2 linked regions of the Tamandua tetradactyla genome follow. The protein of the gene in region 1 interacts with the protein of each later gene in a pairwise test. Links are inferred from orthologs where the notes say so. Each region holds a gene or a part of one and is shown in the gene's direction. Other genes may lie near its edges. The genes, in order: GRB7 and LAX1.

Region 1 (14,947 bases):
TATACATGCAAAATAAAAAAAGAAAACAAGTGGAGATTGCCCAGTCTGGTGCCTCGCTCCCTGCTGCCCCTGCCACACATGCACTTTGAGTTGTTTGGGGCAGGCTTAAAGCTGGGGGGAGGCTGGACCAGGGCCTGGGGTGCTGAGTTTCTTCCCGCTCGCAGGTTGGATGATTGACTCTGAATGTCGGCCACGGTTCCGGGAGTTGGTGTCTGAATTCTCCCGCATGGCCAGGGACCCCCAGCGCTTTGTGGTCATCCAGGTACTGGGCCTTTCCGCCCCCTCCCTGCCGTGATAACAGCATTCTCCCCCAGAGAGGGGGCATGTGGAAGGGTGAGGACTCCAAGTCTTGCCCTGCCCTGACTTTTGTCCTCCCCAAGCTTTCTGCATTGGGCTGTGGAGGTGCTGCCACCCTCTGTTCCCTGTTCCCTCCTCCCCAGAATGAGGACTTGGGCCCGGCCAGCCCCTTGGACAGCACCTTCTACCGCTCACTGCTGGAGGATGATGATATGGGGGACCTGGTGGATGCCGAGGAGTACCTGGTGCCCCAGCAGGGCTTCTTCTGCCCAGATCCTGCCCCGGGAGCTGGGGGCACAGCCCATCGCAGGCACCGCAGCTCGTCCAGCAGGGTCAGTGACCTCGGGCACCGGGAGCGGGTGTGTGTGGTTTCCTCCCCCCATCCCTGTGGACTTGGGTCTCTTCTTCCCAATGTGGCCCCAACTTCATCGTCTCTCGTGGAGACCCCATTACTCCTAAGGAGGATACTACTGCCTTCCAATCCCGGTGCCTGTCCTGTGAACCCATGCGCTCCACAATGACTGTATCATACCCCAGGGTGCCCGCAGTTTATCTCCTGTGACCGTCATCTCCCATGGAAAGTCCCCAACCCAGATCCATGAGTGCCCTCCATTATGACCTTCTCCCTTGTCCTCAGAGTGGTGGTGGTGAGATGACCCTGGGGCTGGAGCCCTCCGAGGAGGAACCCCCCAAGTCTCCAATGGCACCCTCAGAAGGGGCTGGCTCCGATGTGTTTGATGGTGACCTGGGAATGGGAGCAGCCAAGGGGCTGCAGAGCCTCCCCCATGACCCCAGCTCGCCACAGCGATACAGCGAGGATCCCACAGTACCTCTGCCCCCCGAGATTGATGGCTACGTTGCCCCCCTGACCTGCTGCCCCCAGCCGGGTATGGAACGAGCTGAGAAACTGGGAGGTAGGGAGGGGGCAGCCAGGTCTTCCATGCCTTCAGCTCACTGTCCACTGGGAGGGGCGGCGGCAGTGGCAGGGACACCTGAGTTCCTTCCCCTGACAATTCCCTTCTCTTACCCTTTCAGAATACGTGAACCAGCCAGAGGTTCGGCCACAGCCTCCCTCACCCCTGGAGGGCCCTCTGCCTCTTTCCCATCCTGCCAGTGCCACCCTGGAAAGGCCCAAGACTCTCTCCCCCAAGACTCTTTCCCCTGGGAAGAATGGGGTTGTTAAAGACGTTTTTGCCTTTGGGGGTGCTGTGGAGAACCCCGAGTACCTGGCACCCCGGGGTGGAGCTCCTCCACCTCACCTTCCCCTTGCCTTCAGCCCAGCCTTTGACAACCTCTATTACTGGGACCAGAACCCATCTGAGCAGAACTCACCACCTACTACCTTTGAAGGGACCCCGACAGCAGAGAATCCCGAGTACCTGGGCTTGGACGTGCCTGTGTGAGCCAGAAAGCCAAGCTTGCCAAGGCCCTGCTGGGCCCTCAGGGAGTGGGAGGGCTTGACTTCAGGAGAGGAGAGGACCTCTGACCATCCAGAGGAGCATGCCATGCCAAGGACCTGTTCTAAGGAACCTTTCTTCCTACCAGCATTCCCAGGGGGCTGGGAGGGGCCCGGCCTGGTTGGAAGAAGGGGGAGCACCGGGGAGTCTTGAGTGCTTCTTCTGGAGCCCTGCCCTACCAGATTGTAGGGTCCAATGGGTGCCACAGACACAGTCTCTTCAACCTGGCCTTCTTCCAGATCCCTGGTCCCGAAAGACTTGGGAACGCTGGGCCTAGGAGGGGAAGAGGCCCTGGGGAGTTTCTGAGAACATGAGCAATCCAATCAGAAACAGTGCCCCTGAGATGCAGCTCTGCCCCGAGGAGCTTGTACAGAGTGCCTTCTTGTTTGTTTTTACTTATTTTTTGTTTTGTTTTTTAAAGATGAAATAAGGACGTGGGGGGAGAGATGATATGTGGAAGGGGTTCTGTGGGGTTGGGGAAAGGGATGTCTCCCTACTCCAAACCTACCTTTTCCATTTGCAAATATATTTTGGAAAACACCTGGGTCCCAGCTTATGTGTGGGAGTGGCTCTGTGCCATCCCTAACTGCTCCCTTCCTTAACCTACACTCAACTCTTCTCTTGGAGCGGGTGGCTTGGAATCTCCAGAAAGCTTGACTAAGGGGACTGATTTTCAGTTCCCTGGCTTGGGGGGAAGGGAGGCATTTAGGAAACTGGGAATTTCACAACCAAATCATTCTTGCTTAGAACTAATTCCTAAAGCCACCCACCAGAGTGGGGCAATTTCCTCCCTCTGGGTAAAGAGGGTGGGGGATGGGGGAGAGAAGAGGCAGTGTCTACTTTGTGACCCATTTTCCCAGCCTTGGCTGTCAGAGGAACCCACAGAACTAAGGAACTAGCTAGAAAAAGCCTACCTACCCAGCATAGCCACCCTGCTGGTACAGGTGCCCCCTGTACCACACATCTCTGTGCTGGACATAAAACACATACTAGTTGGCACAGTGTTTGTAGTGCCCTTTATTGCCAATAGTTGACACTGCCCAGAACTGAAGAATAAATTAAAACTACAGTGGCATCTGACAGTATTGTCAAGCTGAGGAAGAAACTAGGCTTCTGTGGGCACTGCTTATGAGTAGGGAATATAAGGGGTCTGTGGAAATGTCCATGGGGAGGATCTCCTGTCCCCAAGACCACAGAAGCTTCTATTCCCCTCCCCTCCCTTGCATCCCAAGGGGCAAAATGGAAGTCGGGTCTGTTGCTTTCAGGAGCTCAGTGACGGAAAAGAGGCAGAGGAGGAGCCCCAACAGAACCAAAGGGGATACCAAGGCTTGGTCCCCAGAACAGAGTAGGAACCCAGGAACGTGTGCAGTCACAGGATGACGCAGGGAGGACGGCTGTTGGTGATCTTTTCTAGAGGTTCTCCATTACTAGCTCTTCGGATGGCCTCAATAAGCTAGAGAGCAGAGATGGGAATGGTGTGAGACACTGTAGGGACAGTGACCCAGGGGTTCTCCCAACACTGCAAATACTCACGTCTTTCTCATAAGGAAAGCCCCCGTTCTCTAGCTTGGAGAACACCAGCTGTCCATTGATCTCGATCTCAAAGGCCCCTGGTATTAAATGGATGAATGAATGGTATGCGGGGAGCAGAGGCAGATATCAAAGAAGGCTCTCTAAATGGATCCTCCATGCCCCCCATTGGCCCCATTAGAGACTCATTTATAGCCCCTTCCACCAATGTTGAGCCCATGTTAAAGGGACCTAGGGAAGATCCACCTGTGTCCCTCTGAAGTCTTCAACACCCGGTGGTGTTCTCTCTCCCCAAAAAACTACACTTTGGCAGTCTCACCGGTTTTTCCCTACAGGACTCATCTGTCTCCCCCACCCCCACTTAGGCCATTTTACATTTTACTGCTGGACACTATTATAAACCAGACAATGTCAGAGCTAGAAAGTGGTAGCGCTGGGATTTGGAACGCAGAATGACTCAGCAGGTGTTCTAAGGGCCTTACCTGTGCCCCCCAAGCGTGACTCGATCTCGATGCCAGGATACTGCTCCTTCACGGCGCTCGCCAGCTCCAGGTAGGTCGCCTCGAAACCGCAGGGTTCACTGGGGAGAAGGGATCTGGGGTCGGCTGGGGCTTCGGGTGTGGGGCTTCCCGTGAACCCATTCCTGTCGGGCCTGGGGCCCCCACCGGCCAGGGACGCTCACCAGTACTCTACCACGATGCGGACCCCACTTCCCGGTTCCACCTCCCCGGAAGGGGGCGCCACGGATATTGGCCCCAGCTCCCCACTCATCGCTGCCCGCTCTGCTCGGGCCGCGGCTTCCGGGTGTGACGCGGCGGCGCGGGCACGTGACGGGGCGGGGCTGCGGGGCCGCCGGGCCGGAGACCAGCGCTGCATCCGGGCGCCCCCTGCAGGTTGCAGCCGCTGTTACGTAATGACTCTCGCCCCAGTTCGCGGGCTCGCGTCCGAAGCTCCGGGCTCCCGGCCCGGGTTCTCAGAGGGCCGGACTTGCCCCAAACCCGAGCAAAAATCTTAAGACTGAAAATCCCTTTCAGTTTACAAAAAGGAGCAGGAAGCGGTAGGGCGAGCAGCCCAGGGTCTTGGGGATGGGTTGGATATGCCTGATGGTATGTGAAAGTTACCATTGCTCTCACTTTCTGATGGCGTTTTTCAGCCGCTCCAGAATTACCTAGCCAGGTACCTCTGACTCGGAAGCTCTAAACTGCCTCTCTTCCCTGCACATGGGAACCTCAGGCTTTGGGGCACCCGTTCCTCGGGCGATGCTTCCATCATATGTGCCCAGTTCTGGCAGACTTCCATCTCATCCCAGCCTCTCAGTACAGGCTGGGATCATTATTTCCATTTTACAACTCTGGAAACAAGCTGCCTAAGTCCTCGCTGCTTATGGAGTACCAACTCAATATCTTAACAGATCTCCCCTCTCTAGCATTCCTTCAACCCATTCATTTTTAGCAATTCAGTGATTTAAAGAGTTATGCAACCATCACACGATCCAGTTTTAGAACATTTCCATCAGCTGGGAAAGATCCCTCCTGCCTGTTTGCAGTTAATCCATGTACCCAACTCCATTCTTACCTGGACATTTCATATAAACGGATCACACAGTATATGGTCTTTTGCTTCTGGCTTCTTTTATTCAGCATGGCTTTGAGATTCATCCATGCTGTAGCATGTATCAATAGTTATTCCTTATCATCACCGAGGAGTATTGCATTTGTTTATCCTTTCGCCAGTTGATGAATATTTGGGTTTCCCGTTTTGGCTAATTTTGAATAATGCTGCTATAAATATTCGTTATGTCTTTGTATGGACATAAATTTCCATTTCTCTTGGAGAAATTCCTAGGAGTGGAATTGCTGGGTTAAAAGGTAAGTTTATGTTTAATTTTTTTTTTCTTGTATGCTGTGTGGTGGGGTCACATTCCATTCTTTTTCCATGTGAGTATCCTGTTACGACAGCATCATTTGTTGATTTTTTTTTTTGGGGGGGCGGGAGTACAAGGGTAAAAGGGCTGGGAATTGAACCCCTGTCTCCCGCATGGCAGACGAGAATTCCACCACTGAACTACCCTTGCACCGTGTATGTTTAATTTTTAAAGAAAATGCCAAACTGCTTTTCCAGTGGCTGTACCATTTTACATTCCAGCTAGCAAGGAATGAGGATTCCAGTTTCTCCACATCCTTGTTGACACTTGTTATTGCCTGTTTTTGATTAGCTGTCTTGGTGGGTGTGAGGTAGTATCTCACTGTGGTTTTAATTTCCATTTCCCTGATGACTAATAATGTTGAGCACCTTTTCATGTGCTTATTTAGCTATTTGTACATCTTTGGAGAAATGCCTGTTCAAGTCTTTTGCCCATTTTTAATTGCATTATTTGTCTTTTTATTACTGAGTTTAAGAGTTCTGTGTGTTTTAGATACAAGTACTTTATCAGATATATATGATTTGCAAATAGTTTCTTCCATTAAGTGGGTTGTCTTTTCACTTTCTTGATGGTATTATTTGTAGCACAAAAGTTTTTCATTTTGACGAGATGCAACTTATCTATTTTTTTTCTTTTGTAGCTTGTTCTTTGCTGTATCTAAGAGCTCTGTCTAACTCAAGGTCCTGACAATTTCTCTCCTGTAGTTTCTTCTAGGAGTTTTATAGCTTTAGCTCTTATATTTAGGTCTATGGCCTTTTCTTTTTTCTTTTTTTTTTTATAAAAATGGAGGTTTGTGTTTTATTCATGTCCTGTCATCCTTCTTCCTGACTCCAGGGGTGAGGTAGGACGGTTGAGATGGGGGGAAGGGGAGAGAGGCAGGAGGGGGCAGACTACAGCTGCCCTTTGTGGCCATATTCCAGTGTGGTGACAATGATGTGAATTACAGCTCCATACTTCCAGCCCAGGTCTCCACATCTCTGTTTCTTGAAGTACCTGGTTGACATTCTCCACCATCGCAGTCCAGTGGCCTGTCTGCTTGGCATATTGGCAGCCTGGACTGGTCTTCGCCTGGTGGTCTTCAGCCTCTGGTCCATGGAGGACTCGGCCACCCCCACACAAGGTGATCCACCAAAGCTTGTCAGGCAGGTCGTTGCAGTAATGGCCTCTCCCTTCCTCTTGTCCTATAGTTCCTTGCGTTCATTCAGCTTGGCCTGGCACTCTTTCCGCAGACGGGGCCACCTGGGTGCTGGGCATACCAGGACCACCCCGTTTCCAGGAGCTGGAACCTGCACTTTGCTCCAGTGGGGCCTGTCTCACATGACTGCAGTCTCTGTGCTCTATTCTGAGATACTTTGTGTGCATGGTGTGAGGTGAGGATCTAAATTCATCTTAAAGCATATGATGTTAGATTGTCTCGGCACCATTTGTTGAAAAGACTATCATTTCCTCTATTGAATTGTCTTGACACCTTTGTAGAAAACTGATTGACTAGAAATGCTGGGGTTTATATTTGGACACTCGATTCTGTCCATGGATGTATAAATCCACTTTTTTGTTCTTGTTGCTTCTTCTTTATTATTGTTAAAGAATGCAGATACGATTTATACACAGTAAAACCCACCCTCTTGAGTGTGTGGTTCTGAGGCCTCACCAACACACACAGTTGTGCATCCACCTCCAGGACCGTGACACTGACCAGCCCCATTCCCTCCCCACAGGCCCCTGTGCCCTGCTCCCATCCCTGCCCCCCTCCCCATCCCCACACCTGCTTTCAACTCCCTTCAGAAGCCGTACACATGGGCTCCTACAGCACTCAGCCCTCTGAGCCTGGCTTGCCTCTCCACCCCATTCCTCTCTACCCAGAGTCATCTTTCCTAGATGTGAATCTGCCTGCTGCCCTGAGCCTGGCTTGCCTCTCCACCCCATTCCTCTCTACCCAGAGTCATCTTTCCTAGATGTGAATCTGCCTGCTGCCCTTTGCCTCCACTTAAGCCCAGATGGCCCCTGCAGGGCTTGGCCTCTGCCCACTGCTCCCACCAGTCTGGACGGACAGGATGAATTGCTCTTCAACCCTGTTTGCAATAACACACATTCCTGGGTCCCAGCCCCAGAGACTGACATTCAGCAGGTTGGGAGGAGACCAGAGATCTGTTTGTACACAGGCCCAGGGAGATTTAGAGGCAGGCGTTTCACAGACTCTGCTTTGAGAAACATAGCTGAGAGCAGTCCACGGCCCTTACCTTTCCCCACACCTGCCAGGTCTTACCTGTGTGGCCTCATCTCCTTCCCTTTTCCTGCACCTCCTCTCTGCCTCTCAGTATGGTCTCCCCACCTGTTGTCCCCCAGCTGCACCCCAGTCAGCTTCCCTCAGCTCAATTGTCACTTCTACAGAGAAGTCTTCCCCACTCCTGTGTTAGTCATTCTCCCAGCACAGTTGTCACCTGTCATTTCTTATTTACTGGTGTGAGCCTTGGTTAACCTCATTCTCCCAGACTGAGCTGCCTGGGGATAAGGGTGGGGTCTGTTTTTGGTGCTGATAGCATGGGGCTTATCAAATTTGGGGCGTATCAAATATCAGCTGAACGAAGGAGTGGATGCTTGAATTGTCTGTCCACTCTGCGTTTTGCACAGTATGGTGACCTTGTCTCCCTCTCCCACCTCTTTGCTTTGCCTAGTCATACTGATTTTTTTCAAGGAATGCCCAGTTTGGAGAAAGTTGAGGCTGGAGCCACTCCTCTGCTCCCCCAGGGCACACCTTATCATCCTGTGGGATTGTTTGTTCACCCAACTGTCAGCCCATCAGACTGGGAAGTCCTCAGCTGTCTGATCTCAGCGCCTCTCCCTGTCCTGTGCTTGCCTGAGTCTCAACGACCCAAAGGGGTCACTCTGCAGGGTGGCCCCTGGCGACCTGGTCAGAGCTTTCTCCATATCACCAGCTCCTCCAATCTCACACCTACAATTTTAGATAGGATCCCACCTGCCCCCTATAATTTAGAGGGGGGAAGCTAAGGGTTTGGTTAGGGTTTGATCAGAAGGGAGAACACTCTGGGTGCCCCTGAGGTCAGGGTGAAGCCTACGTGTGATGCAGCTGGAGGTGAACGGGCAGGCCATGGTGCTGGACTCCCCTCTGGCTGCCTCCTCTCCTTCTCAGTGTCCTTTGCCCGAGGAGGTGGGACCTGGAGCCCCAGACAGGCCCCCTAGCTTGGCCAATAAACAGGCCAGGTTTGGGGAGTGGCAGGGGGAATAGTGGGTCCACGGTTTCCTTTTATCTTCCAGCCCCCAGCCCTCAACCTCGCAGAGGTTGTCAGGCCTCTTGATTTTCCCTCGATGTTGTTCTGTGCCACTGTCTTCCCCGCCTCTCTTTGGGCACCTGCACCTTCCCCTGGCACCTGCTGCCAGGCTAGGAAGGGCGAAAACAATCCCAGGCGGCGTTGAGTGTCAGGGAGTCTCCGCCCCCTTCTCCTTTGCTTCCTCCTCCCAGGCCCCGCCCCCAGGCCCCGCCCCCACCTGCCCAAGATAATTTTAGCTTTCCTGGGCCTGAAGTCTGGACATACAGGGCTCCCCGCCGACTTCTACGTCCAAAGTTTGGACACCCTCCCACCACCTGTAGAGAAGCCGGAGCGGATTTGCAATCATACCCAAGTGTCCCCGGTTCCTAGACAGAGCCCGCCTTGGGACCCGGTGTCCGACTCCTCCTGCTGGGTCTCTTCTAGGTAAGGGGAACGAGATTGGTCCCAGACGACATCCCACCCCCACCCCTAGCTGCACCAGGGCCCCAGCCCGTGCCCGACGTGGGGCCAGCGGCTGGCTGGCTGGCTGCCCAGGTGTGGGGACAGGTGTGGGCTGGCTTTCCCGCTCCCCTTCCCTCTTGGCGGGGTCTGGCTAGGGCTGGGGGACGAGGGGTGGGGGGGACAGGTAGTTAAGGCCTGGCGTGTCTCCCCCTAAACCAGTGGTCCCAGCCAGGTACACCGTCATGCAGGGACCAGGTAAGGACCAGAGCAGCCACCTCACCTTGGGGGTGGAGACACCAGCCTGTTGGGGGTCCGGGTCAACCTGGAAAGCTTCTGCCTCCTGTTGTGTGGCTCCGGTGGCCTCACTGTTTTTTTTCCCTCCTGTCTCCCATCCCGCCCCTTCCTCCATCCTCCCCTACTCTCGTTTCCTGTCCTCCCAGCTCCTGGGTTTCCTCCCCACACCCCCTCACACCCTCTGGACATACCCGCTGATGGGGATGGGGAGGTAAGAGTTTGGATTCTTGCCTTTGGGAGATACCACTTTTCCCGCTGAAACTACTCCCTCCCCACACACCCTGCAAGAGAGGGATGGGTTCTGCCCCCACTACCCTCCCTCGCTCAGCCTCATTTGTCCTCAGTTTGGACAGATGTCTCCGCGGGAGCCCCCACCCCCACTCACAGGGCAGCGAAGGAAAGGTATTCTCTAAATTGCTGGGCCCCCATCTCAACTGACTGTGGCACCTGGGGGCCCAGGTCTGGGGGCCAGCTGCGGGACCCGGGGGTCTACCCGCAGCGGGCAGAAATTGGGGGGTGGGGCGGGGCAGGCCCTGGGCCCCTCCAGGCTTGGGAATAAAGTTGCCCAGGAAGGCTGGGGGGCTAAGCTGGGAGGGCCTGCTGGGTGGGACCTAGGGAGAGGGTGGGGGGCGTGAACGGTAGGCAACAGGCAGTCCCCCATTGGTGAGACTGGGGTCCGGGGCCTGAGTCTGCCTGGTGCACTGAGGACCAGGAATGCACCTGCCTGCAGGTGGGACGCCCTCCCCGCGGCCCCCGGGAGCCCCTCCCCCTCCCGGCCCGCCCGGCCTGGACTCTGCTGTCTCCTCTCCCCACAGCCGGCTGTAGGGTGGGAATGGGGGTGGGGGGGCATCTCCATAAAGGCGAGTGGCCTGTAATGATTAACTCCACAGACTGGGCCACACGAGACTTCTTCTTAAATTAAACTTTAAAAGAGCTGCCCCCTCCCCTCCAACTTTTCCCATTGGCTGTTTTCTTTCCTGAGTGAGGGTGTGGGCGGGGCCTCAGGGTCCTGGCTCCCCCCCCTCCCATTCCAGGTCACCTAGGGGTTTCCTGCCTCCTCCCCAGGGCCCTGCCTGGGCTAGCTTCCCCAAAGGGGAAGCCTCCCCCCGTCAGTGAATCCTGGGGGGGGGGGGGGAGGGCGGAGCGTGGAGTACCTGGCCAGGTGGGGCCCCCCCCACTCCCCCTGTATGCCCTCGGCGGACGCCTCTGCTCCTGCCCTGGGAAGTCACGAAGGTGGCCTTGTTTTCTGTTGGCTCTAAACACTGGGTCCTGTCACCCGCCCTTGGGGCAAGCCAGGTGGGGCAAGATTCAGGAAGTAAACCAGGAGGCTGGGCGGCCGGGCGGGAGGGTGGGACTGGAGCTGCAGGGGCAGGAGAGGCTGTTGGGGGAGCTGCGGCTTTGGAGGTACAGCGTTGAAGAGACAAACTGATTTCGGGGGTTGGTCTCTCCAAGGGACGCTTTCCTAGGGACCCAGTTTGTAAGCTCCAGATCTCTTGGGAGGAGGGGCTTCCCAGACCCCTCTGAGAGGACCCCTTTATCTCCACCCCGTCTGGGTGGTCCTGCCGGCCTCACTCCTTTCTGGCCCGGCAGGGGTGGGGGTGGGGGTCTGAAGAGTAGGTCGGAAGGAGCCTGAAGGCCTGAACCCGAGTCTTGAGCCTGCACTTTGGTCCTCTGATTTGGGACTATTCGGATTTGAATCCATGACACACCTCCCTGCCAAACACTGCCCTCCAGGTTCCTCCCGGGTGAGTGGGGAAGGACTGGGTCCGCTCCCCACCCCATGGTTGGGTAGCCCCTGCAGCCCCTCCCCGCTCCCCTCCCTGGAATGAGGTCATCTGGGCTCCATTGCCAGAGGCCAGCGGGGGCGGGGTTGGGGCATTGTGTTTTCCTGTTTCGGTACCTGATGTTTATGTTCTCACTGGGGTGTGTTTTGCACCCCCCCCCCCCCCCCGGGACTACCTCCCTGGCTGGCTCTCTCCAGGGCCTTCGCCCTGTCTGCTGGTCTCCACCTGCCCTCTTGGTGTTTTGACTTTCTCTTCTGGCCCCTGTGGTACCCCTTGGCCAGGACACACAGGAGGGGTGCGTGAGTGTGTAGGTTGGAGCCTCGTGACCTGGGGAGTGACACACACAGTTCCTTTTGGCTGGCTGAGTCCTGGGTGCTGGGGATGGGCCTCAGCAGCAGAGACCTGGTAGGGAATGCTGAGCGCTGCTCTGGGGAGGGATGGGGTGCCGCTGCAAGGCCAGCCCTGCTCCAGATGGGTCTCTGAATCCAGGCCTGGTCTTTCCTCTCTCCTTACTGGGCCAGGGGCTCCTGGGCTGGGTGGTGGCTTCAGGCCTGAGGTCAGGCCGGTTGTGGAATCCACCTGGACTGGGGGAGTCGGAGGTGGGAGGAGATGATGTCAGAGGATCCTCCACCAGGCATCCTCCTCCCTGCCCTGTGCCGCCCCCACTCCTCCCAGGATACAGTAGGTTGTGGCAGGGTGCAGGTGGGGGGGGGGGGGCAGAGGCAGAGCTGTTTGTGTTTCTCCTAAGCCAGGAAGTTGTGCAGATGAGTCAAGGTTGAATGGAGAGCCCAGGCAGTGCTGTTCCCACCCTGCCCTGACTCACCTGTCCCCCAAAGTCCCCCATGCTCTCACTTTAAGATCAGGTGTCTGCCCATCTTGGGGGCAATGCCAGGTACCCTAGGCAGCCTTTTAGGACTGGTCTGGCCAGTGTCCTGGGAGTGGACAGGGGCCTGGGAACCAGCTGGGATTGGCAAACTCTCCTGGGCAGATTCTCCCAGGACACAGCCCAGCCCAGGGGCCTGCTTGGTTCCTGCGGAGAAGGGGCCAGCACAGCCTCTACCCAGCAGTGGGCATCTTTTTCCCATCTTGACTTGCCCTGGGTGCCTGTGCAGCACCCATGGCTGGTAAGACACAGGTAAGACTGGTCTTGCCTGGGGATGTTGGAGTGTCAGAGTAGGGGGTGGACGAGACAGGCACACAGTCTTGGTGCAGAGGCCCCAGCACAGTGCTAAGAATGAGCTGACAGGCAGGATGTGGAAAACCCAGGAAGGCTGCTCGGAAGAGGTGGCACTGGGGCTTGAGAGATTTGGGCAGGAGGAGGTGCCTGGGTTGGGGTGCCAGATTTGGGGGCTGCTGGGGCAAAGTCCCTGAGGCGAGACCTTCCCCTCCCATCACAGCGAAGTCTGCCCTCCTGCCCTCCCGGTTCCAGTCGTGCCCTTCCCCACCCCCATCTCCCCTTCTGTGCATCACTCATCACTTGGGCAGGCGTTGCCACAACAGGCTCTGGCAACTGGGTCTGACAACAAAGCACTGGAAAAACCCGGGGCAGAGCCCAGCAGAGTGAGGGCCCCACGCTTGGAGGCAGAGAGGTGGCCCTTTGCACTGACACTGAGAGCCTGAGCCCCAGACAGTCTATGGGTTGTGCAGTCTTTGTTGCTGCTGCCAAGCTTGGGCAGGGGGAGGGGGCCCTCTTAGCCCTTTTTCCCTGGACAACTCAGGGCTAAAGGAAGAGCACTGAACTTGGAGTCCCAAACCAAGTTCCAGCCCCCTGACTCACCTGTAACCCAGGGCAAACATGCATCTTTCTCAGGAACTCCGAGTCCCCTTTTAAAAATTGGGGCCCGTTCTATCCTTCCCTGTGGAAAATCCAGTTAGAGGGGGAGCAGTGAGGTGCTGTGTGAACCCTGATAGCTGTGTGCAAGCAGGAGGTCTGGGTCCCCTTGGCCTCTCTCCCCAGGACAGGGACATATAAGTGCTGCATTCAGCTCCCTCTTCTCCCTCAGATGTCATGGAGCTGGATCTGTCTCTGCCTCATCTCAGCAGCTCCCCAGAAGATCTTTCCTCAGCCCCTGGGACCCCCCCTGGAACTCCCCCACCCCTTGATTCCCCTCTGCCCGGGGAGGTGAAGAAGTCCCAGCCCCTGCCTATCCCCACCAGCAGGTACAATGGGGCAGTGGGGCTGGGAGGGGCCGGGGAGGCAGGTCTACGCCAGGTAATATATAGGGGATGACAGCCGACTCTCCCCCACCCCGGCCCCCATAGGAGGCTTCGGGAGGAAGAGCTACGGGCAACCTCTCTGCCCTCCATCCCCAACCCCTTCCCTGAGCTCTGCAGTCCTCCTTCACACAGCCCCATTCTTGGGGGATCCTCCAGCACAAGGGGTCTGCTCTCCCGAGATGCCAGTCGCCCCCATGTGAGTTTTCCTGGGAAAGAAGGGAAGGCAAGAAGGGGGAGGGAGGCCCTGGGGTGGATACAGCACTACCTTGGGTGTGTGTGGATGTGTGTGGATGTGTGCGCGCGTGTGTGTTAGCACGTGGGGAAAGGGAGAGAACCATCCTTTGATTTCCCCCAGATCATTTGTAATCCCTGGGCTGCAGGTGGTCAAGGTGTACAGTGAAGACGGCACCTGCCGGTCTGTGGAGGTGGCAGCGGGCGCCACGGCTCGCCATGTGTGCGAGATGCTGGTGCAGCGAGCCCATGCCCTTAGTGATGAGAACTGGGGGCTGGTGGAGTGCCACCCCCATCTAGCACTGGGTGAGTTGGGGTGCAGAGGAGCTGCCTGGATGTGGGAGATGCCTCACATCTCAGCCTAGGCACGTGGGTCCTCTGGGGGTGGGGGTGGGGGGCCTGGCGGGTCTCCACTGACCCCTGTCCTTTGCCCTTGACCTCAGAGCGGGGCCTGGAGGACCATGAGTCCGTGGTGGAAGTGCAGGCTGCCTGGCCCGTTGGCGGAGACAGCCGCTTTGTCTTCCGGAAAAACTTCGCCAAGTATGAGTTGTTCAAGAGTTCCCCAGTAAGTGTGTGTGAAGTTCTGGGTGCTGGGACACCCCCATTTCCAGCTTGGGGACCCACGATCCCTGACCTCTGACGTCTTCCTTTCCCCAGCACTCCCTGTTCCCAGAAAAGATGGTTTCCAGTTGTCTTGATACACACACGGGCAAATCTCATGAAGAGCTCATTCAGGTGAGGGGACCCCCATTTCCCCTCACATTCATGCCCACGCCCACCCCTGCCCCAGCATCCCCCAACGCTTCCAGCCCTTAAGACCTGTGCCTCCCTCCATGAGGTGGAGAGCGCCCAGCTGCCTTCCGGGGCTGTGGATAAGCCACTTCCCTGGCTCGTGGTTCCTTCTCTGCAAAATGGGGACGATAAATGCACAGGGAGCACCTCCCCTGGTAAAGGGTCCCCTGAAGTCCTTGAGGTGGGTCCTGCCTATCCCCTCCACGCCTCTCACCCTCCGCCTGCTCTCCTCTGGCCTAAGAACTTCCTGAATGCGGGCAGCTTCCCTGAGATCCAGGGCTTCCTACAGCTGCGCGGATCAGGACGCAAGCTCTGGAAACGCTTCTTCTGCTTCCTGCGCCGGTCTGGCCTCTATTACTCCGCCAAGGGCACCTCCAAGGTGAGGGCTCTGTGCCAGCCCCAGCCCCAGCTGGGGCTTCCCACCTCTAGTCCTTCTAGAAGTCACCCACTCCCTGTCAGACCCGTGGATCACCCCTTCTGGGCCCTGAGACCCTCAGCTGCTCTGTCCTCTCCCCCGGCTGACTCCCTCTGGTTTCTTGCCCCTACCCTCCTGCCCAGCTTACCCGCATTGGGAAGGGCAGGTGTGCTGTGTGACCTCAGACGCTTCCCATCCCGTCTCTGGGCTTGAATCTTCCCCCCTGGTTTACGGGGCTGGTAATGGGGGCATTGGGTCTGCCTGCACCAAACTGG
Region 2 (15,419 bases), on another chromosome or scaffold:
TGCTGTGCTGTGGTTCCTACAACACACAGAATAGCAGAAAAAAAAAAAAAGATATTCAAAAAGCTATGAATTTAATTAAGGGATATTGCTTGCTATATATAGCCTGTTCAGGAAGCCCTGGTGAGTAAAGTGATATTCACTCACATAAGAAGAGAACAAGGAAAACCACTTTGATCTGTCTCTTCTCTGTTCAGGCTCTCTGCCCTCCATGTCCCCCTGAGACACACAGTGCCCACATCTGATTCCTTCCTGACCACTCGCCTGCTCCCTTGGCTGTGTTCCTAACTGACCTTGAGTTCAGAATCTGCCTATGACCTCAGGGAGGGACACCCACTCTCGCACAGCTTTGGGGATGAGGGAAGTCTTGGAGCTGTCCGCAGATGTTTTCTCATCTGGACATGCTTTGCAGCCATTTCTGCGCTGTGGCTTTCCAGCTAGTATGACTCAAGGGGTGTTGGAGAGGCTGCCAAACATAGAACTGCAGAAGGACCTGGGGGCAGACGTCCACTCTGCTCTCAGGGCTCCCGGACTCTTAGCTGTCAGAAGTATCAAATTACCTCCTCCGCTGGAGCTCCGCCTAAGGGCCTGTTGTGGGGTAAGGAGCCTAGAATTACTGTCCTCTAGCCTGGCTGTACTCCTTGATTCTGAATTCTCGTCATTCTTCCCCAGGGTCCTGGAAGAAAGGGCGTGTAGGGAACAGAGAAATGACAGATAAATTACTCTGGCTCATCAAGAGTAGTTTCTAAATCTTTCTGACTTAACCCTGCTCTCTCACAACTTTTAACTTAAAAGAAAGGTATCTGCTGCCTTCATTTTCTGCTTCAGACTTGTCTGGACTGGAGAAGGCCTCTAAGATGCAGGCAAAGGAATGAGGAGGGTTGGGGTGGCCGCCACGAAGGCTTTGCCTGTCCTTCTGCCTTGATTATCTCGGACCTCCCTGAAACCTTCAAAAACAAAGTCTAATTGAGGGGTTCTTTCTCACAAGGAAATTTGGATATTTGTTGGCCTAGAAATACAAAAAGCTGCAGTTAATAATACCTTCCCTAGGACAAAGCAGCTCAAACACACAAGCCCCAGCTGTCCTTCCTTGGAGGGGCGAGGAGGACTGTGCAAGGATTGTCTTGGGTTTCTTTGGTTGATGAGTTACAGCAGGAAAACAATACTAGATACTGATTTATTTTTCAGTATCTCACCCTGTTACAAACGTATGTTATAAATTCAAGGCAGCAAGAAGCACCTGAGAGAACTTCTCTGAGGGCCTTATTAACCCTTACGGTCAGGCACTGTGCTAAATACAGGTAAGCAAGAATGAAACACAGTCCCTATCATTAAAGGGTTCAGAGTCCACTCAGGGAGTGTCTAAGCAAGTACTCCCAGCAACTTGAGACACTGTAAAAAGTTGCTTGCAGAGTGGCATGGAGTTAATTGCAGGAGAGAAAAAATGCAGGGCTTGGGAAAGGAAAGCTTTCCAGAGGTGCTGACATTTGAGTCATATTCTCTCTTTTTTTTAATAACAATTTTGTTTTTTATAAAAATCACACTTGGGTAGTGCAAAGGTGTCTCAGTGGCAAGAATTCTTGTCTGCCGAGCTAGAGACCTGTGTTCAATTCCTGGAGCCTGTCCATACAAAAAAAAATTCTTTTGCTATAAAGATCACACTTGCTCATTATAATAAATTCAAGCAATAAAAAAGAATGCTAAAAAGAAAATAACAAAATACCCAAAGACTCACCACTCAGAAATAACCCGAATAAACTTTTTGTTTAAATAGAGTTTTTTTTTAACTTTTTAAAAAATACACTCAATTTTTTAGAGCAGTTTTAGGTTTACAGAGCCATCCTCTCCCCTCACACACACATATAAATTTCCCCTACCATTAGCATCTTGCATTAGTGTGGTATATTTGTTATAATTGATCAACAAATATTGATACATTATTAATAACAAAAGTCTACAGTTTACATCAGGGTTCCCTCTTCGTGTTGTATGGTTTTATGGGTTTTGACAAATGCATAATGTCATGTATCCACCATTACAGTATCATACAGAACAGTTTCTCTGCCCCCAAAATGCCCTGTGATCTACCTGTTCATCTCTCTTCCCCTTTCCCCTGAACATCTGGTATTATCTTTAAAATGTGATTTTACTGGAATTTAGCAAGAGAAAAAGAAACATGTTAAAATGAGTGAACTCGTCCAAAGGCTCAGAGTGCAAAAGTGACAATGACTAGGTCTGCATGTAAATGCAGCATGCATGGAAGAGGGGTGGTGAGTGAAGACAGGCCACTCTACAAGGGCAGGAACCCTCATCTCTGTTATTTACAAACCTAGTGCCTAGTGTCCTGAGGTAGGAGACTTCTCATAAATATGTGTTGAAAGAAGAAGGTGACAAATGGAAGGCAGAGCAAGCATTGAGAGAGAAAAAAAGAAAGGCCAAAGAAGGCAGTTTATTCAGTATAAAGAAAATAAGGCTAATGTCAGAATAATATGTAGCAGTCCCCATTTAATAGCTTTTGCACATGCCAACTGTGGTGGTTTGAATTGCATACCCCCGTTTGGACACGTTATTGGTTTTGGCCCACATTCTGGTGGGTGTGGATCCATTGAAAATAAGAACTCTCTAAGATGTTATTTCAGTTTAAGGTGTGGTCCATCTGAATTAGGTTGGGCTTTAATCCAGATCCCTGGAGTCCTTTATAAGCAGAGTGAAAGTAGATGGAGAGAAGCCATGGGGAACAGCCTGAAGTCAAAAGAACCTAGAAGAGAAAGGAGAAGATGCCACCATGTGCACTACCATGTGACGGAAAATGCCTACATGAAAGAACCCCATAGACTGGTGGCCAACCAGCAGATACCAGACTCAGGATGAAAAAAACCTTCTAGCCTCTGAAGCCATGAGCCAATAAATTCCTGTTGTTAAGCCAAGCTTTTTTGCAGTATTTGTTTTAGCAGCAGGGAAAGTAATGCATCAACTCCAAAGCCAGGCAGTTTGTCTTCATTTTTACAAATATCAAGCATCTTTCATTGTTAACCAATAGGCAAGTACTATTATTATTGTCATTTTACTTCCAAGAAAATACCCGAAAGATTAGATGACCTGCCCAAGATTCTCTACATAGTAATTTATGATTTGAATTCAGGTTGAAACTCTTAACCACCGCTTCTGTCTTCTCAAAGAGGACTTCTGAAAGGTTTTCTGTGTTAGCAACATCACCGAATCAGTGTGAAGCCCGTCCCCAGAAATCTTAATATTTTATAATCATACATTTAACAACATTAAAAGGGGTTAAAGGGAAACATTAGAGCAAACAGTTTTAAGACATACACCCTCTATCCCAGGAACAAATGGTTTTCTTCCACTATTACAATTAACAATTTCAGACACCTACTTTCTGTTTTAATTTGTTAGTTTGGTTGGGTTTTGCCCCATTGGTAGGGAAAGGAGAGCAGGATGGAGGAGAGATCAGCCAAGTCTGCAGCCTGGAAGCAAAAGACTTGCGTAGCCTCCTTTGAGGAGGGAGTTTGGATGCAGAGAGATCAGAAGACCAGAGGGAATATCACTTTGTTTGGAGCTAGCTGAGTAAATAAGAGAAATGAGGCTCTGAAATGGTCACATGTAGGAGAAAGTTGTTGTAGTTTTAAAAAAAAACTTAAGTAGCAATCAGGTTTCCTAAGTGGAAGGAGATGTGGTTCTGAGATTTGGTTCTACCCACCTTACCCTGTTCCAAGTTCCTGGTCATACACAGTCCCTTACCAGACCTGGCTCCAATGGCTCAGGATGGGGTAGTGTGGTAGCTAGGTTCGGTGCCAACTTGCCCAGGTGATGATGCCCCATTGTTCTGTTTCTGATGCCTTAAATCATCAGTATGTGAAATTCATCTATGGCTGATTGTATTTGCAATCAGCTAAGGGGCATGCCTTCTATAATGAGTGAGGTTTAATTTAATTAGCTGGAGGCTTAAAAGAGAGAGGTCAGAAGAGAGCTCAATGCAACACAGCCCAAAACAACTCAACATACCTCATCTCAGCACTCACAGCTCAGCCCAGATGTTTGGAAACATAGAAAAGAATCACCCCAGGGAAAGTCGCTGGAACCCAGAAGCCAGGATAGAAGGCCAGCAGACATCACCATGTGCCATCCCATATGACAGAGAAATTCAGATGAAAGCTAGCTGCCTTTCCTCAGAAGAACTATAAATTTTTAACCAAATAAATCCCCTCATTAAAAGCCAATCTATCTAATGTGATGCCCCAATATATTCCAGAGTAACTTGGGCGATGAGTAAAGAAGTATTTGCAAGGTTCGTTGGGGGAATGGGGAGAAAGGAGGAAATATTCAACTTCCCCATTTGGAGAAACTCTGATATTCTCGCAAGCAGTGGGGATAACCAAATCAATAGGCCAAGCCCACAATTTTGGGGTTCACCCCTATGAAACTTATTCCTGAAAAGGATAGACTAAGCCTACTTAAAATTAGGTCTAAGTTATTTCTTAGCACTTAATATTTAGAATTTAAGAAACTCTACCATATTTATAGATATACAATAAGATGCTAAACCCAGGAACTGCTTTTACAGTAATAATTTTGAATGTTAATGGGCTACACTCACTAATTAAGACACAGATTGACAGATGGATTAAATAATATGATCTACCTTTATGCTGCTCAGAAGGGACTTATCTTAGACTCAAGGATACAAACAGCTTGAAAGTGTAAGGATCGAAATAAATGTTCTATGAAAGCTGTAATCAAAAGAAAGCACAAGCAGCTATAATAAAATTAGATAAAAAATATTTTAAATGTTATGATATCCTAAGAGATAAAATTTTCATATGTGAATTGTAAAAACATTTGTATCTTGATATTTCTCTGAAATAAAAAACTTGAAAACTCACACACACACAAAAACTAGGCCTAAGAGTCTCCCCCAGAGAATCTCTTTTGTTGCTTAGATGTGGCCTTTCTCTATAAGCCCACTCAGCAGGTGAACTCATTGTCCTCCCCCATACATGGGACATGCCTCCCAGGAGTGTTAATCTCCCTGGCAAGGTGGGACAAAACTCCCAGGATGAACTGGAACCCCATATTAAGGGACTGAGAAAGACTTCTTGACCAAAAAGGGGAAGAGAGAAATGAGACAAAACAAAGTTTCAGTGGCTGAGAGATTTCAAACAGAGTCAAGAGGTTATCCTGGAAGTTATTCTTATGCATTATATAGATATCCATTTTTTAGTTTATGGTGTATTGGAGTGGCCGGAGGGAAGTACCTGAAACTGTTGAGCTGTGTTCCAGTAGCCTTGATTCTTGAAGACGATTGTGTGTGAAGATTTATCAATAAAAATCTTAAAGAAAAAAATAAAGCTGACCTATCTCTTGTGTGGTCCCTTCTAGCAGCTGTGGCAAACTCAAACAGATAGCCTCTCTCTTTCACCAGTCCCAGTCACCAGTGTGATGGAATGAAGGATCTTATTCATGGGAAAGTCCTAGCTCTTCCTCATGCCCAATCCACAGAAGAAGTCAATACAGAACCTGGGTTCACCTGGGACAGCCATCTCTAAGTCTTCTTTGCTTCCTGCCAGCCAAAGCTCCTCGGAAGGAGGCAGTAGGCCCTGGAATGGCAGAGTTCCTCAGGAGAGCCTCCAGGGCCAATCTGCAGCCCGTGGGAGTGTGTTTTAATTTGCGAAAGCTGAAGAAATACAGTATGCCAGAAATGGGATGCTTTTTGCTATGGGGATATATTAACTTAAAAGTTTGCAGTTCTGAGATCATAAAAAATGTCCAAATTAATTTATCAAAAGAAAGATATATTCTCCCAGAAGATCAACTATTGGCGATCCTCAATTTCTCTGTCAATGGCCAGACACATGGCAATGTCTGCTGGTCTCTCCTTTTTCTTCAGCTTCTAGCTTCTGGCTTCAGTGACTTCCTCTCTGAGCTTCTGTGTGCCCTTCTCTCTCATCTTCTCTGGCTTTCTTAGCTTCTCTGGGGCTTTTTTCTGCATGGTGTCTGTCTTTTATGCTCTATAAGAGACTCCAATAAGAGGAGTAAGATCCACCTTCAATGAGGCGGGTCACATCTCGATCAAAATAACTTCATCAAAAGGTCCTCAATGTGGGACATGACTCCCAGGGACGAACCTGGTCCTGGCACTCTGGGATCGACAATGCTTTCCTGACCAAAAGGGGAAAAAGAAATGTAACAAATAAGGTTTCAGTGGCTAAGAGAGTTCAAATAGAGTCAAGAGGCTATGCTGGAGGTAACCAAGCTTTAAGTAGATGTTGCTAATTACCACGATTTGCCAAACCCCAACCAAAACCATTCTAACCAAACCTGAAGAACACCTAGAGCTTGATTTGAGATTCTACAAAAGTTTCACAAACTAAGATTACTTTCCAGAAACCTCCAACCTCCAGACAGTTTCCTAGGCCAGGTAAGTCTTGAAACCCAGAGGGGCTTCTTCAGAACATCAACTGATTCCATCCCTCTGCCCCATATTATCAATACCCCTTCCAACATGAAAAAGGTAGAAAGGGCAGAGCCCAAATACCCCTAAAGATTGGGAGGAGGATCAAAGGAGAAGGAGACATTATAACAGAGAAGATAGGATTTAATAAATGAGTATGACTGCAGAATCATTATATTGATTTTTTTATGTCTCCTGTGTCTTAGAGCAGCTAGAAGGAAACACCTGAAATTGGAGAACTGTAGCTCATAAACTCTGAAATCTGCTCTAGCAAGTAGTACATCTACTACTTGCTACGATGTACTTTGAAATTTACTGCTTTTTTGGCTATGCATTTCAAAATAAAAAATGTTCAAAAAAAAAAAGTCCCACCTACATAGGTCTACACCCACAGGAATGGATTAGATTTAAGAACATGATATTTTCTGTGTCAAACCATCACAGGGAGCCTGCGGGAGCCTGGATTCAGGGCAGGGGCTTATGGCTCAGGGAAGCAGAACACCTTGATGTCTACTGGGGATGGTGAAGGCTCTACTTCACATCCTCAAAATAGTCTTAGTACCCTTTCTCCTGGAGCACTTCCAGGATGCAAAGAGTAGACTGGTAGAGAGAAGAGGGAAAGAGAGTTAGAAACAAATCTTGAGCTATCTTTGAAGTTGGGATACTTTGGGTAGACACCTGGGATGAATTACACATCTTCTGAGACAGGTGTCCAATAAGCAAAACTGTTATAGATTTTTCTCAAGACTCCTGAGAACAGGAGATAAGCAGTCTGCAGGAGCCTTTGAGGTCATGAACCTCTGAAAGCAGAACTTCAGGGACAGCAGTTGGGAGAATTAGCCTCCAAGGGCCTAAGAACCCAGTATTAGCTCCATTCTTGGTGTAATACCCAGAGCACATTTCTCAAAAAGTGAAAAAACAGACCATCTCTACCAAAATCACAAAGTCGCGTCTATTGGAAAAGCCATTTAGCTGGCCACATTTGCATTCTCCACCCACTGAATCAGAAAGGCAGTGCCAGAGATCTGCAATTGTTTCTAAAAAGCACCCTCCCGTGCTCCTTAGATCTACTGCATATACATATTAACCTAGAGGTTACAAAACTCTAAATGTCTCAGAAACCCTGGAGGAACAATCACAAAACCCCCACCATGCTGCCCCACTTTTGATCACACTCATCCAGACCACAAGCACCTGGGAGGCGCAGGGTGGGTGGAAGACATGTTTTCTGCTCTTATTAAAAGCTGAGCAGCATTTCCTGTGCCCCATGTTTCATTAACACATTGGTTGGTGTCGCTTCCTGTGACTGACTCTCTCTTTCCATTCTGACTCTCAGCTTAAGGGTGGGGGAATGAGCTGCCCATGGAGCCTCTCCTGGGGTTCTTGGCAGTTCCCCTCTCTGTACCCCTCGCCCTTCCACCAGAAGGCAGAGACCATGGACGCTCGCTGAGCCACCTGCTTCACGAGCCCAGTGCTGGGATAAGACCTCACCTTCTGCAGTGGCCATCATAGCCACTTCCAGGTAGAACCAACCTGTCGTTTTTGCATGTTGCGTCAACTCAGCCTGACATTTCAGGAGCAAGGACTGGGCGGGGAGTTTGTTGGGGGAAAGAAAGTTCTAGAAAGAAAGATTGTGCGCTTTAGAAAAAAATATAAACCAAAAGACTTTTTTTGAGAGAAAGACTAAAAAGTGATAAACATTTAAGAACAAGGAATCTTTCTTTTTTTTTTTTTAATAATTCCACTCTAGATTTTGCCAAATTATACAGTCAAGGCTTTAAGAACAAGAAATCTTGAGAGTAAAAGCTATGATTTAGGGAGTACTTGGAAGAAATGGAGATGAGAATTTCTGTCATTTTTACATCATTGCTAACAGAGTAGTTATACCCCCACAGGACTATATGCGAAACACAAACCAATTTGCCTTCTCTCTTGAGAGTCAGCAATTTAGGAAGAGCCAGGAAAAGAGACAAGCATGTTGGCTGGTTGATTATGATCAAGAGAAGTCTTAGGAGAAGCTGAACCCTGTGACAATGGATGGCATCACCCCAACCCTTTCAGAAATCAGAGGAAGGACCTTGGAGCCGAGCACTCTGCGGGCAACTCTTGGCAACCTGAACGGGTGAGTGACTTAGGGAGGTCAGCTCCACCATCCCTGACCAAACACAGGGTCCTAATCTGCCCTTGAGGGCTTCTAACACAGCTGTGCAGCCACGCTCACAATCAGGCTCAGGTCCACTGAGACCATCAAACTCTGGGTTCAGAGAAGTTTGCCCAGAGATGCTGGGAAGAAAGGAAGAGATGTTGAGGAGAGAAGGGAGTTGTTGGGGGAGAGGAAAAGCTATGCTAACACAGGATTTCCTTGGAGCCAGATGCTTGGCCTAGCTGTTTTTCTCACTTCTTAGAGACCCTAATCTCTGTCCTCAGTCTATCCTATCCTATCCCATGATTATGGAGACAAAAAGACCCACTTTCCCCAATGATTTGTTTTTAGGTCCTAAAGACTTGCCATGAATTAAAAAATTAATAATAGATGTAATAAAGACATGTCTTTAGGATATAAAATCTCACAGAACTAATCCATGATGTAAATTTTAATGCTAAAGCTTTCAATCTCATACAAGTGAAACATCAAATATCCATCAATACTTGAAACTTTAGTAATATCATAGGTATAAATGTCAGTGCTATGATAACTGAATCCCATGACAATAAATTTTAAGGTTGTCATAGTTTTTGGAAATAACTGTTATTACTATGACAAAAACATTCCACTCACAGGCAGATATAAACATGGAAGTTGTCAGAACCCTGCAGACCCCCAAACTATTTCTGTATTCATTGATTTATTTGTTAAAATTCACTCATTCACTTAAATATTCACCAGGCCCCTGCTGAGCCCCAGGCACTGTTCCCAGGCACCTCCTTGGCAGGTGACTCTGATATTATGAGGGTAGAAAGACTGCTACTGAATTCCTGTTTCTACTTCACTTGGCTGCTTCATTTTACAGTAGGCACAGCTGCCTGGGTTGTACTCACCTGGATGCATTTCGACACCAAAGAAAAGCATAGTGTCACTAGGTGAGCAGGATAGATCTCCAGAAATCTCTGACCTCGAGAAGCTGACAGTCAAGGCAGGGAGGCCAATGATAAACAGATAAACCAGTGAATATATAAATGTATAATATAATATTAATCAGTCATAAATGCTATGAAAAAAAATAGAGCAGGGTAAGGAGACAGAGAGCAATAAGATGTGGGCAGGGAAAACATGCCTGGGGTGGTGACATTTCAAAAGAGAGCCGAATAGTTGAGGGAGTGAGCCATGCCCACAGCTGGGAGAGGAGGGCTCCTAGGAGCAGGAGCAGTGGGTCTACGAGGCTGTGTTTGGCATAGGCAAGGAACCACAAGGCGTCTTAGTGGTCAAGGTACAGAAGTCAGAGGGCAAGTAGTAGGAAATGAGGTTGGAAGGTAGACAGAAGCCAGACCATATGGTGTCTTAATTAAATTCTCATTAGGTCAGGACTACGGATTTTATTCCAAGTGTGATGGGAAGCCATGGAGGATTGCAAGCAGAGGAGGTACATTATCTGATTTACTGTTGAGAAGGACCACACTGGCTCATGTGTGAAGATAGTAGGTTGGGAGCAAAAGTGAAAGCAAGGAGTCCAGCGAAGGAGGTTTTGCAAAGGTTCACTTTGGCTTAGACCAAGGTGGGAACAGAGGAGTAGGTAAGAGGTGGAAGAGTTTGTGACTGATGCCCAGTGTCGGGCAGACAGAAATTGCTGATTGACTGAAAGTGGGGCATGAAAGAAAAAGAGCCATCAAGGATGGCTCCAAGATTTTGATGGCTCCAAGGGTTTGAGCCATCAGATAATGAGTGATACTGGGAAGGAGCAGGTTCATGGGGAGAACAGAAGTTTTGGATATATTTGGCTTGAGATGTCCATCAGGTAGCCTAGTAGAAATGTCTAGGAAAAAGCTGGATAAACAAACCTAGAACCCAGGAGGGCAAAACCCTCCTTGGCAGATGACTCTGATATTATGAGGGTAGGAAGACTGCTACTGAATTCCTGTTTCTACTCACTTGGCTGCTTCATTTTACAGTAGGCGCAGCTGCCTGGGTTGTACTCACCTGGATGCATTTCAACACCAAAGAAAAGCATAGTATTACCTCCAGCCCTGCTGGGAATTACAAAGTAGCACAGAACTCGTTCAGTACATTTGCATTGGTTAAATTTCACACAACAGCAGAGTGTTGCTTGGAGACTAGTTCCACATGTTGGTATGTGGTGGTTACTCAAGTTCATACAAGCTGAACTGTCACAGAGCCACTCCCTAATGATGAGCTGGGTCATCATCCTCTTTTCCGTGCAAGCCAGAAAGCCCAAGAGCAGGAAATGGGGGAAGCACGAGCAGAAGGACTTGACTTTCTAGGTTTGGAGGACAGTGGGGCAGGGTGGGGTGGGGTGGGGCATGACCTTTGGACCTGAGCAGATCTAGAATCACAGTCCGTCTCAGTCACTTAGCAGCTGGGTGGTCTTTGTTGTTACCTTACCTCTCTTACTCTGAATCTCGTGTTCCTTGACCACTAAGGGAGAAAGTATTATAAAAGTTAAACAGGTTTCACATGGAAACCCTGGCACACAGTAGGCATTCAAGGGGGGGGGGGGGGTTGGTTCCCTTTATCCTGTGTCTAAATTCCATCCTTCTGCGAAGTCAGTATTTAGAGGTGGCCCCTCTCTCTGCCGCACGGCCTTTCCCACCTGGGCTTTCCATCACTCGCCCTCCTCTGATGGGGTGCGGCGCTTGTTTTTTTAGACGTGAAGGCCAGAGCAGCGGCATCTTGTTCGGGTTTGCTGCCTTCCTCACCGTCCTCCTGGTCATTGTGGTTTTCTGCATCCTGAGGAACTGGAATAAGCGGAAGAAGCGTGAGTCCTTTGTTCGTCCCGCGTTGAGACACTCTAGGATTAATAATCAAATTCGACATTTAAAAAACAGTTTTGCCCATCTACTCTCCCTCACCAGGTTATTTTCCAGGGATAAACGATTGCACGGGTGGCGGGGAAGGGGTGGGCGATCCTCCCTTCTTATCCGACACCTGGATTCTTTGTTCTTCTCTGTCTCACTCGAGATACTGACCAGCGGTACGGAAATGCTGAGGGCTGATGTGAGTTCCATTTTGAAAGTCATTGGCCTGGTGCACTTATGCCCCAGGTTTCCCTTCTGTCCACTGAGTCCCCTGCTCTTCTAGATCAAATGGGATTGGCCAAATCCGAAAATGTGTATTTTATGATTCACGGAGAGGGTGGGGAATATTTTTGTTCTGTGCCTCTGCCCCCTGCAGCAACCCCCCTCACCCATTGCCTTGCAGGGCCAGTTCCTTACCTCCAAGTCACCCTCCTGCCCCTGCTGACCCTGCCTCGACCCAGACAACGAGCCAAAAATATTTATGACCTCTTGCCTCGGAGGCAAGAAGAGCTGGGTGAGTTCTTCCCTCTAACCTGGGGAGTCCAGACACACTGAACTTCTCTCCCCAGGAGGCCCCTCTCACTACTCAGAAGTGACTTGCTCTGACCTTGCAAACCTGTCTCCCTTTCAGAGAGCACCAAGGAGAATGGGACAGACAGACGGCAAGATACAGCTCCAGTGGGGGCCTAGGAAACTCTAAAAAGGAAGCAGAGACTCACTTGGGTTGGGAGATTTGGTTTTTCCTTAGCTTAAGTTAGCAGAGGAAAGGTGGGAGTGTCTAGGTGTCATAACTGAGAAATCAGGATTTGAGGGATGATTTTGATTACTGAATCATTATCTAGATATTCCTTTTTGCTTTCTGGTATATTGGAGTAGACAGAGGGAAATCCCTGAAATCTCTAAATTGTAATCCTGCTGCCTGGATCTCTGATAATGATTGTATAGCCTTGATCTTCTGCCCCTGTGACTGTAAAAATCTTGTGACTAACCTTCATTCATACCCAGTTATCCAGTTTTTTTACTTTAGACTCTTGCAATCACTAAAATTAGTCCCTAATGTTTATTAATGAAGGGTCATGGGTCAGCCCAGAGCTAACCTACTCCAAGTCCAAAGTTATGTTGATAACCGAGACTGGACCTAACCAAAGTGGGACTGCCTGATTATGCACAGTAGCTTAGATTTTAATCTACAAGTCACCTGTACCTTGTCCCGCCATTTTCTTACACATGTTCTGTGACTAAGCATGTAATCAATATGCACATGCTCAATAAGTAAATCACCACTAATTATATCATCTGGGGCCTCTGTGCTCATTATCCTAAACCCTGTTTTTTTTCTTTTATAAAACTGTCAGAATTACTGCTGTTCAGGGAGACAGATTTCGGGCTGCTAGGCCATCTGCTCTCCTACTCTGAGCCTAGTAATAAACTCTTTGAAACCCTGACATCTCAGGAATTGGTTACTGGGTGCATCGGGCAAAAGAATCCATGGCCTTTGTCCAAGAACAGCATGGGGAAGCCATGCGGGAGGAGAGCACGGCCACCAGGACTGAAGGCTGGTGGGCCTTCCACATAAGCTTCCTTCCCACCACCCCCAATCCCTGTGCTGGTGTCCTCCAGCACCACAGAAGCCGAGGAGGGGCCCAGGGTTGCAACCCCCGAGCATGGGCCCCTTTCACAGACCCCCAGGCCACAGGCTGGAAATGCCAAACACCCCACACACCCAGTTTCACCCAGGGTGCAAAGTCCTCAAAGGACTGGCTAACTATCTTCAGAATTTGTTCTCTGTGCTTTCAGGAAGACACCAGTCAAGGAGTATCCGAGTGTTCAGTACTGACAGCCTCCTCTCCAGGAATTCTGATAGCCTTTCCCCTGAGTACGTGGTAAGAGCTAAGTGAAAAGACAAACCCTTGTGAGAAAGGACGTATCTCTGAGAGAAGAACTGAGGCAAAAGCATTCTAGGCCTGGCATCTCCTTTCACCACAGACAGTGTGCCCTTTGGCTCGCGCTCCGTAGCCCTATTACTAACTTGGGAAAACTAGCTGCAGGACCACCCTACTGCCCAAGGAGGAAAATTAAAGAAAGACAGAAACGAGTGCTTAGCCTTTTAAGAAAAGCATCAAGACACATGTATTTAAATACATGACGTTAGGACTGAAATTGATTGCTCTAACAAAGGCATGCTAACTTGCTTACGCAAATGCGTGTGTCCTCTTCCAAGTCACCACTTCAGAAGTGTACACAAATATCCCAGCAGTGCTGTCCACACTCCAAACATGCTTACAATCTTGGTTTGGAAATTACTTCTAGGGCCCATGCTATGCTGTTTCTAGTATCTTCAACCATAGAAATATTCGTCAGTCATTCAGCACTGTTGGTGATGTATAAAGTGTTGGATCACACTGGAGATACCTTTGAGGTTACAAAGAGAAGATTATGATTAATAACAATAAGCCTGTGTCTTATGACCTGGCCCTGAAGGCAGCTTCCGAGGAGGAATCCAATAATAATTTTGTGCAGAGACAACTAATTTATAGTAAAGGGACCCCTTTGGAGATCAGGATGCTCATTTTCAAAGATAAGTTCATATTTGCTTGGTAAAGGATCAATCTCTTCTGTTTTGCGGTCATCCTTGGTCAGGTGCAGTAGCACTGTCACTGATGGTTTTGTTACCCAACCAGACTCTCTTTACCCAGGGGTTAAGTTTCATTTACTCTGCAGCCACCTCCACCTCGATGCCTTTGCTTCCTCCTCTTCCTTTTCCTCTTTTCTCTTAAGACTTCCTGGGGCAGCAAGTCTGAGCAGCTGATAAAGGGCAGGGAAGAGGAAACACCATTGCCAAAGCTAGTTCCAGAATTTGGGTGGGACCTGAGGGGATTTTGCATTTAGAGTTTAGATCTCACACTGCCTCAAGCCCATAGACATATTTGGTTTAGAACCTGTAGTGTTTTTAGAATTTTTTGAGCCAGTTGCCAAAGTTAAAAATCTAAGAGATTTCACATTGAAAGTCCAGATTTCCAGCTCTTCTTGAAAATTCAGAATTTCTGGAAACTTCAAACCAGCATCTATAAAAGACAGTATTCGGCAGGGTCTGTGTGCCAGCTGCCCCTTTCATAATAATAGCAAGCATTTTGAAAGTGTTTTCCAGGTGCCAGGATCTATTCTAAACACTTTACATGTACTAATCTATTTATATACCCCTCATGAAAACCTTATGGTATAGACATGCATGATCATCCCCATTTTATAAATTAGGAAACTAAGGCACACAGAGATTAGGTTACTTTCCAAACTCACTCAGCATGTAAGTGGTGAAGCTGGAACTTGAACTCCTCAGCCTGACCCCAACCCTGACCTTTAACCACTCTTCTACATTCCTTTCAACGCACTCTGAAGAGACAGGCTCTTCCAGTTTATAGTACTTCCCTGAGCTCCCCTACTGAATGCCCACAGTGCAACCAAAAACAACTTACCATTTATCATCACCTTTACACTGTTCCTTTTCTTAAACTCAGCCCACTTGCCCGGTCTACCTGGCATCTTGCATTTTGTGACCCCTGATTTAGAGCTTTAATCCAAGGTGGAGAACCAAGTGAAGGAATTATAAGTAGCAGTACTGGGCAGGTAAGAAGAAAGGCTGTGCCCATATTTCTCTCTTCCATCCTATCACTGGCTTTCTCTTCTTCCCCACAGCCCTCACAAGCAGGCAGTGCCACCCAGGTGCATAGAGCCCATACCTGTGCCATGGGGTACACGGTGGGAGTCTATGACAATGCCTCGGTGCCCCAGATGTACGGGGACCCAGCTCCCTCAGCACACTACGTCAATGTCAGAGCTTCCAGAGACTGCCCAAGCATTTCTTCACAGGATTCAAGAGATTATGTCAATGTTCCCAGAGCAGAAGAGATTGCTGAAAATCTGGCTACCACCAGCAACTCTCCTGGGAATCTCTTTGTTCTCCCAAGAACACAGGAGCTAGAATTTG

The links.
Region 2: the proteins of GRB7 (region 1) and LAX1 interact in binary tests that used the Homo sapiens proteins (3 or more experiments, as listed by UniProt). The two-hybrid records come from large-scale screens. The link is inferred for Tamandua tetradactyla from reciprocal best matches to the Homo sapiens genes GRB7 and LAX1.

The regions. Positions count from the first base shown.
Region 1 is NC_135332.1:27,550,126-27,565,072, reverse strand, and holds the start of GRB7 (growth factor receptor-bound protein 7), read left to right. Parts: upstream 1-8,751; 5' UTR 8,752-8,921; intron 8,922-9,577; 5' UTR 9,578-9,586; coding exon 9,587-9,635; intron 9,636-10,595; exon of another isoform or gene 10,596-10,637; intron 10,638-13,020; coding exon 13,021-13,177; intron 13,178-13,279; coding exon 13,280-13,430; intron 13,431-13,614; coding exon 13,615-13,771; intron 13,772-13,908; coding exon 13,909-14,030; intron 14,031-14,122; coding exon 14,123-14,200; intron 14,201-14,498; coding exon 14,499-14,636; intron 14,637-14,947. Other genes in the region: ERBB2 (receptor tyrosine-protein kinase erbB-2), read left to right, coding at 165-262, 441-629, 935-1,211, 1,333-1,700; MIEN1 (migration and invasion enhancer 1), read right to left, coding at 3,124-3,207, 3,288-3,364, 3,767-3,864, 3,967-4,055. UniProt on the Homo sapiens protein: Adapter protein that interacts with the cytoplasmic domain of numerous receptor kinases and modulates down-stream signaling. Promotes activation of down-stream protein kinases, including STAT3, AKT1, MAPK1 and/or MAPK3. Promotes activation of HRAS.
Region 2 is NC_135330.1:61,101,973-61,117,391, forward strand, and holds the start of LAX1 (lymphocyte transmembrane adapter 1), read left to right. Parts: upstream 1-7,738; 5' UTR 7,739-7,985; intron 7,986-8,402; 5' UTR 8,403-8,496; coding exon 8,497-8,585; intron 8,586-11,284; coding exon 11,285-11,394; intron 11,395-11,837; coding exon 11,838-11,948; intron 11,949-13,231; coding exon 13,232-13,317; intron 13,318-15,127; coding exon 15,128-15,419. UniProt on the Homo sapiens protein: Negatively regulates TCR (T-cell antigen receptor)-mediated signaling in T-cells and BCR (B-cell antigen receptor)-mediated signaling in B-cells.